2 linked regions of the Danio rerio genome follow. The protein of the gene in region 1 purifies or fractionates together with the protein of each later gene. This does not show direct contact. Links are inferred from orthologs where the notes say so. Each region holds a gene or a part of one and is shown on either strand. Other genes may lie near its edges.

Region 1 (3,820 bases):
CGTAACGACTGCGGTCTGGTCCATCATCTGCCTTCTGGCTCTCAGTTATGACCACACAGTCTCTAATAACACAGAACATACACCAAATAAAATGTCTTTTGACATCCCTCTAACAAATGCAGCTGACAGTGTTCTGCACGAGTATATATTGAATACAAACAAATCCAAGCAACAGGCTCAGTGTGGCTTTACCCTTGTGCACTATGCCTGGGTCTGGTGGGACCTGAACTGCGAGGTTTGTGCCCTGTCCAGTCCTTCAGTCCATTCAGAGTACTGTCGGGTTGGGCAAGATAGCGGTCCAGGTCCTCTAGCACAGAGTCTTCACATTGTACTCGAGTTAGCGGTGCCAGAGACATGTGTGCTTTGATCTCAAACGGAGCAAACTTCCCGCAGGCAGAAGCCAGAGTCTGAAACACAAGAACATACAAAAATGCCTACATTAACACATTACTTGACAAAATGGCCAAAAAGAACAAATACTATGAATGTTAATGATTGATTATTTCAAACATTTTTAACAGAACAAAAAAAACTGGTTTAAAACAAGTCAAAGTTGAGTGAAGGACAATTTTTAGATTTGAGTGAACTACCTTTTAAAGACGCATCTTAATCAATTTGATCACTGATTACAGGGTTTAATTGAAGCTTTTTATTATTCATGTTTTTATAAATGTATATTACAAATATCATATGACAACTGCATTTATTGATGAGCAACATTCCAACCTAAAACATAGCAGCCTGTACTTGGTTAGCTAATAAGAACAGTGTAGGGCAGATATAGACTCAAACTAGGGCCTAAAGGGCCAAAGTTGGCCCATGATAATCTTTAATTTTGCCATCCACTAAGAAAAGAGGCAGAATGTTGGGGGTAATGCTTTTAAAACACATTGTCATTTCTAATTTTAACACCAAAAGACGTGACACCTCAATTTATTGTAATTTGAGCGTTGCGTTACAATTTGAATATGTTTGGGTTTTTATGCTGCTATAAGGAACATCTGCCATTTACACAATATAAATTGTAAAGACGCGATACTGCATCATTAAAATGCTATACGAGTGTAGTCTACACCATAGCCCTCTATGGCTCTGGCCCACGTGCACTAGGGCTGGGCGATATGGACAAAATATCATATCTCTGTATTTTTAGGACGAACGATGGCATACGATATATATCCGGTATTTTCCCATAAATGGTCACTTTAGAGTCAAAGCCTTTATTAAAACTTTATTAAACATTTTTGAGCAAAATATATTTGTTTACAAATAAACAGCTGCACAAAAAAATAACAGCTGCACAAAATCTTCGATAAAAACATAGTACGGGTTTTTCTCCTGCTTAAAACTACAAGTTGCACAACATTTCAAATTATAAAAAAATGATTGATAAATAAATCAAGTACAGTTTTTTTTGCCTGCTTAACACTATACACAGCTCTACTGTGCTGTTGTGCAAACAACAAAGTAAACAGAACCATAGAAAACAGCTACATTGTCAGAGCAAAAAATTTACACTTAAATAGTAACACTACAAAACGTATTGTAGGATAGAAAAGAACCACATAGAATGTAAATATGAAACACAGTATTTTATGTCACAATTACAGTGTTTTTATAAGTAATCCTGTATAGCAGTTTTGTGATTTACAAACAACAATTCAGCTGTATGTTTTTGCACAATTATTAAAAAGTGCACATATCGAAGACGTCTAAAAACAAGTCTTTCACTCCATGTAAAAAAACACAGTTTTTTTGTTTTTGACTAAACTATTTTTACTAAATATTAAAGGAGATGAAAACGAATAGACTGTAGATATGAAAAGTAACGAAATAGTTTCAGAGTACTGTGATTAAATGCTGGTTAAGCATATAAGAGCTAAATGTGTTTTAATGTAAATGTAAAGAAGAGAATGTAATAAATACTGAACTTATAATCAGTGAATATGAGGTGGTTTCACTTTCAAAATGCGGTATAAATTTGTCCCATTTAGGTATTTTTAATTCTTTTGAACACATTCAGGTGCTGCTTGTCAATTTGACAAGGTGTCTACGTTCGTTCTTGTATGAATATTCTACGTTCAAATATTGTATGACTCTTGGAGTGAATTATTCATTTGCGTATGCGCTTATTTGTGCAAGTGGAGCTTGCGTGCTACCTTGGAGTGGTTTATTTTGCACAGAATGCACACATGTGGCTTTAAACCATATCGACATGAAAGATACTAGATAATACCGTACGGCGTTGGGGAATCATATTGATACATCCCCAGAACCCGATATACCACCCGGCCCTAACATGCACTTAACCACAAATGCGGAAAGAGCAGAAGTTTGTGAGGGATTTGAACTTGCTGAAAAAAGCGGCGCTCATCATGTTTTCAACACAGTTTTGGATGAGATGGGTGAATAGCCCTAAAGGCATGGTGCAAGTAATAAATTATTATTTAAAAATACCCTATCTTCATGGTGACGCGGCGCCGCCTGTTGAGTACGCCTAATTATGGACGATATGAGGCTATGGCAGCTGTTGTGGAGCCCTTCAAATGGGACAGGTAAAGAAATCATATTTTCCACTAATATCCACATATTCAGTTGCATAAGTAGAGGGTTTGCATAACCCTCTGTTGCATAGGCACACACAATTCACACACTCTGTTCTTGCACCATGTAAAGAAAATGTGTCTCGAGTTTCTGATCATCTGATCGGCCTTTGTAGATATTGCAAATCAATCCCCCCACCAAGCGATTATCGGCCAATAGTGATCGGTGACTGACTACTCGATCTGAGCATGGTCCTTAACACTTCCGGAGGTTGTTAAAATTGTTTTTGATTAAATTTTATTTACAGTTTATGTGCTTATGGGGGTGTAAATGCTTATGTGATTCTTACCTTTGGTGCCAACTGGGTCTTGGGCTTTTGCAGAAACCGTGTAATCTCAGCCTTCTCAGCTTTAATTCGCTAAAACAGATGCAAAAATGCTATGAGGGCCTGCACAGCTTGCCAAAGTCACATCCAAGACTCTCAGCAATGAAACACTCACATCTTTCTCTTCCTTTAACCGTTTTTCCTCTTCCTTCTTCCTTTTCTCTTCTAGTTTGGCCCTAAATAAAGTTTAAAACAGAGTTAAATTCTCAAATTAGGGTAAACCCCATCGCAGTTTCCATTGTGGTGAAACACTGGGTCACTTACTCAATTTTCATCTGCCGTTGCTCTTCTTTAGCTTTTAATTTATCTGCTTTTTCTTTTTCGTCCCTCTCCTTTTTTTCCCGCCGCTCCTTTTCATCTTTCTCCTTTTTCTCTTTTTTCTCCCTCTCCTTCTCCTCCTTCATCTTGCGGGCCTCCTCTTTCTTCTTCTCCTTGGCAGCTTTGGCCTCCTGTTTCAGCCGTTCTTTCTCATCCCTCTGTCGCTGCTTCTCCTCCTGCTCTTGAACACTCTGAGGGACAAAAAGACAAAGGGCTATTCAGCTGAAGCACAAAATTCCACAGCGACAACAATCAATTCACCTTTAACTCTTTAACAATTGGATCAAATTTGAGGGACGGGGAAAAAATGCATTAACCTCTAAAGGCCAAACTTCAGCCATTCACAGCAACTTTACTGGTTTTGTGATTAAACTCAAAGCTTCACAGTCATTGTAGACAGACTGTGCAAACATTTCTCATTCATTCAATGTAGGTCAATCTTCTGGCATTACTGTTTTCAACAAATTATAACCACATCTAAAGAAATAGTTACATTTACTCAGCCTTCACAAACCAGTTTGAGTTTCTTTTTTCTGTTGAACAAAATAAATAACCTTAAAAAATTACTTCCAC
Region 2 (4,559 bases), on another chromosome or scaffold:
AAATAAACACTTTAAGCGTCCTCTATTGTAACTTTAAAAACACTCATCTCATTTGTACATACGTTCATTGGTTGACTACTGTCATGCACATAGTTTCCAGACAAATCTTCAATAAACTGAAAAAACAAAACAAAAAGAATCCTCCACTGACAGGCTATCAACACAGCACAGGTGGAAGACACCAACACAGAAAGTTGTAATGAAATGTGGGATGCTATTGCTGCTCATCCTCAGGACAAGAATGCCAAGTTAGCCTTTCTTCATAAAAAGCAATAACTATCTGCGGGCAACGGGTGTTAGCCTCTCGTGCGGGAACCAGGTCCGCTTCATCAGAGTCCTTCCTGTAAACACAAGACAAAGAAGTTTATCTAGAGACCAAACAGAACAATTAGACTAGGAAGTACAGTGTTGCACTTCAAAACAATGACCTCTGCATTGCAAATGAGGTAAATTATCTTGTGGATGCTTTATTGAAGGGATGTTGAAAACCTAGATTTTAAAACAAATGTATTTTGTCAGTTTAATTTAAAATATGGATATGGATTCAAACACACACACACACATTTATTTTTTTTTCATAAAAAAAAAAAAAATTATACCATACACCTTTGATTATATATAAATAATTGTGTCCTGAGCAGTAAACACGTGGAGCACTTCTACACAAATTAAAAATTTAAGTTAAACTACCTTTTTGAATAGAAATTTGAGATGGATTGTTGGTGATTGTATGAGTTTTGACCAGATTGGCTAGCAATACACGAACATAGGAAAATTAAGACTTGTTTAAAAAAAACATTCAAGACTTACAACACAGAGTAAATGTAAGACTTTTAAGGCCTACATTTTTTATTTTGGGATTTTAGACATTAAGACCCTGCAGAAACCCTGAATAAAAATAAGCCGACACAATGAGCCCTCCAGTAAGCCTCTTTATTTTTTAATAAAAAGGTTTTATGCGTGGGACTGCTGCCCTCTACAGGCCTTTAAAACAATCTTTAAAATGAACTCAAATGTTATTCCAAAACGTTATAGCTTTCTTTTGTGGATTGTTTTTCATACAAAACAAACAAACATTTTATTTACCAAGTTAAAATAGGTTTCAAATATTCTTCATATAGTATGACTTGTAGAAGTTGAACAGATTCAAAACAAGATCAAGACTTCCCCCACTATTTTTTCTCAGCTAAACATGTTCTAAATCAATTACAAAACCACAATAGTTTCTTACCACTTCATGAGGAACATGAGCTCCCCGCTGCTGTCAGTCGCCCCAATGATTCTCTCTGGTTCAAGGTTTCTTGCAAAACCCCTAGGCTTGTCAGACTACAGTAAAAAAACAAAAAACAATATTAGTTTAGATTTAGCAAATTTAACCAATGTTAAAAAAAACATCACATCTGCTAGATATTTTAATGACCAACACAACATCTTACCATTTCCTTCTTTCGTTTTGCCTTGCTCTCTTCTGTCTCTGGTTCATCAGTGGATGATTTTCTTTTTACAGCTTCTGGTTTTTCCACCACTCCTTTCTGAGACTCAAGGAATGCGGCGATCAGCTCTGGACAGTCTAAATTTTCTTCAGGCTCCCAAGTGTTGTCAGCACTGAGGAAACATAGATACCTTGTTAAAGAGATAGTTTACTAAAAACTGAAAATTGTAATTTACTGATCCTTCACTTGCTCCAATCTTGTTAGATTTTTTTTCCATTGAACACAAATCATGTTTTTTGAGGAGAGCTGGAAACTTGTTTACATTAACTTTCACAGTATTTGCTTTTCCTGCTGTAGAAATCAATGGTTACCGGTTTTCAGGTTGCTTTATATTATCTTTAGTGTTCAAAAAAAAATCATTAAAAACTGGAACCACCTGATGGAGAGTCATTTTCCCCTACAATCTAATAGCATACAGCTACACTCACAAATCAAAATATATGCAAAAACAATTCCGTTTATTTTTCATAGCTGCAAAAGAGACGAAGTACTCACTCTGTAAAGCCTTTCCACTTGAGGAAAAACTCAACTTTTCCATTGACCACTCGCTGGTCCATTACCTTCTCCACCACAAACTCCTCAATCTCCTGAACTTCCTTCTTTGACTTGCCTGCCTGCTTCTTACCCATGTTGACCTAAATGCACACACACACAAATGACATCATAAACCAGACCTTATCATTCATTTCAAGTACTTTAAATTTAAAATGTTAAAAATTTAAGACTCTGCTCTTTTTGTATCAAAATAACAAACGAAAAGGTTTAACTGTTTATGACTTGTAATATAATAGTAAAAAGGCTAACGTTAATGTTTGCCCATTTACTAAGAAATTAAATGATACTATATGCTAGGGGGGTTCTCAAATCCAGTGATGCCTTTACGGCTAGCCTAGGGTTAAAAACGCGTTAGTATGTGGTGCCTTTTAAGTGTGCTTGAATGTTAGCGAGCTAATGGTAACTGCGCATGCATGAACAGGCCAAGGGCCCTGAAAGCGTTTCAAACTTCCCACTCGAATTTATAGCGGTTTAAGATTTCCCGGCGAACACACAGCTCGCGTGAACGTATAACTTTCCACAAAAAAATATTGTTCGCTTAATATTTGCTGAAACACGTGTTGGTTTACAGTAGCCCGCGTTAGCCAACTTGCTAGCAGGAAATGCTCACAGAAACAGACAAAACATCGCGACGTTACAAAACATTGTGCAATATGCATCCTACATTTCTGTAAAGTGAAACAACTTAAAGGGCTTAAAAGCAGATTTACAAAAATAAGCTAAAATAAACAAGACTGCAGCATTCAAACAACAAACTACAATGGACGGTGCTGCAGCACGAGAGGCATGCGCGCGAAACTCACCATGACAATGGATAAGATAAAAACTTGGATAACAAATCTTCACGCCTTCTGAACTGCAAATGGCTTTACAGAAACTGCTCCCGCGCCAACGAAGTACGCACTTTTAAAAGTTTTACTTACTTGATACTAATAAATCAAGAAGAAAAGCCGACTGAGGCTCGACGAAGGCCAGCCAGAATCGAACGCGAGGACGTAAAGCCACGCCTATCTGAGAGCAATCACGTGTATCCAATGAGTCTTACGTTGGGCGGAGCGCCTGTGAATTCAAAAGCACATCCGCAGATTACCATGGCAAAACATCTCGATTCAGTTATTTTGAGAGATACACCGTATCACTTAACTTCAATTTAAGTGTTCACTCATTAAACAGATCTCTAAAACAGATTCTCTATATGTTTAGCCTATTGCCTACTACATCCAGAACATGACACAACAAAGGGAGAACGGGGTAATGTGAGATACCCCCTGTATCTAGGCAACGAATTTTATATATCACTCTATAACAATTTTGTTTTAAAGCCCCTTCCATATCTCCTTTACCATGAATAATAGGAATTCCTGGTGCTTTGGAAAGCATGAACTACCAACATATAAAACGATGTGAGTATGCTAGCTCAAGATTAGTCTGAATTGCTAAAAAAAAAAAAAAAAATTTCTAAAATGTGGCAGTGGGGTAAAGTGAGACATTAGGCACAAGTTAAATTTAGTCTACCAGATTGTAGGACTTGTGAACGAGGCCTTCAAACGAGCAGTGACACTTCGCAACATCACTTCTGGATTTAGGTCCACTGGAATTTTTCCATGGGAAATTTTCCTTGATAAAGCATTTTGCACTATTCATGGTGTCAGACTAGGCAAATCCTGAGCTCCAGCCTGGCACTACAGAAGATTTGGATGATCTACTTCCTGCAGATGATCCACTTACAGATAGTTCACTAACTGATGCTATTCCATTCAGTGCGCATATAGTCTACATGGATGTGCCATGTGTTTCTAGCCAACCTGGATACATGTCTCTTCATGAAATGCTACCATTCTCAAATGTCTCCCCAGAACACAATCCAAATGAAACCGTGTGACACTTGAAAAGGCCTATAAAAAAAGACAAACAAAAAAAAAAACACCAAAAAAAAGAAACAAAAAGCTTAAGAATAGCAAATAAAAGGAAAAATCAAAAAAAAAAAAAGAGAAAGCAACCAAAAACAAAATCATAGTTAGCAGCTCTGGGAAAAATGATGTCCCTGTCTTAGTTGATAATGTGTCTGATGAAATGAGCTCTAAGGATGAGAGTAGTGGTCCAAGAAACACAAATCTGTCTTTGGGAGACTTTGTCATAGATAACTTTGCAACAAAAAACACAAGCGTTTATTACACTTGCATGGTTAAGGAAGTTGAGGATGACGAGATACGCACATCATGGTTTTGCCAAGTACGATCTGATCCTGGATCAACATCTATGTTTATCCTGGAGCATCATTTTTGTTGGAAATTGTAATCCATACCTATTCCCTACCCCTAAACCCAGCCATAACTGTACATTACTCTCAAAATCAGAGGGGAATAAGTTGGATAACAATCATCAGAAGTGCATAAACATAATCATAAGCCTAAACTGAACATAAACGGTAAATGTACCCCTTAATTCTGATTGGCTGATTGGAATGTTGTTTAAAGATCAATATACAGATGTTAATCCAGGAACATGTGG

Evidence for each region.
Region 2: the proteins of chaf1a (region 1) and cbx3a purify together in Homo sapiens (affinity purification with mass spectrometry; 5 studies listed by BioGRID and IntAct, with this or other methods). This does not show direct contact. The link is inferred for Danio rerio from reciprocal best matches to the Homo sapiens genes CHAF1A and CBX3.

What each region holds. Positions count from the first base shown.
Region 1 is NC_133197.1:22,139,889-22,143,708, forward strand, and holds part of chaf1a (chromatin assembly factor 1 subunit A), read right to left. Parts: intron 3,439-3,820; coding exon 3,194-3,438; intron 3,106-3,193; coding exon 3,045-3,105; intron 2,963-3,044; coding exon 2,894-2,962; intron 408-2,893; coding exon 193-407; intron 63-192; coding exon 1-62. UniProt on the Homo sapiens protein: Acts as a component of the histone chaperone complex chromatin assembly factor 1 (CAF-1), which assembles histone octamers onto DNA during replication and repair.
Region 2 is NC_133194.1:22,210,281-22,214,839, forward strand, and holds the start of cbx3a (chromobox protein homolog 3a), read right to left. Parts: upstream 3,054-4,559; 5' UTR 2,855-3,053; coding exon 2,852-2,854; intron 2,129-2,851; coding exon 1,989-2,128; intron 1,606-1,988; coding exon 1,437-1,605; intron 1,327-1,436; coding exon 1,232-1,326; intron 342-1,231; coding exon 215-341; 3' UTR 1-214.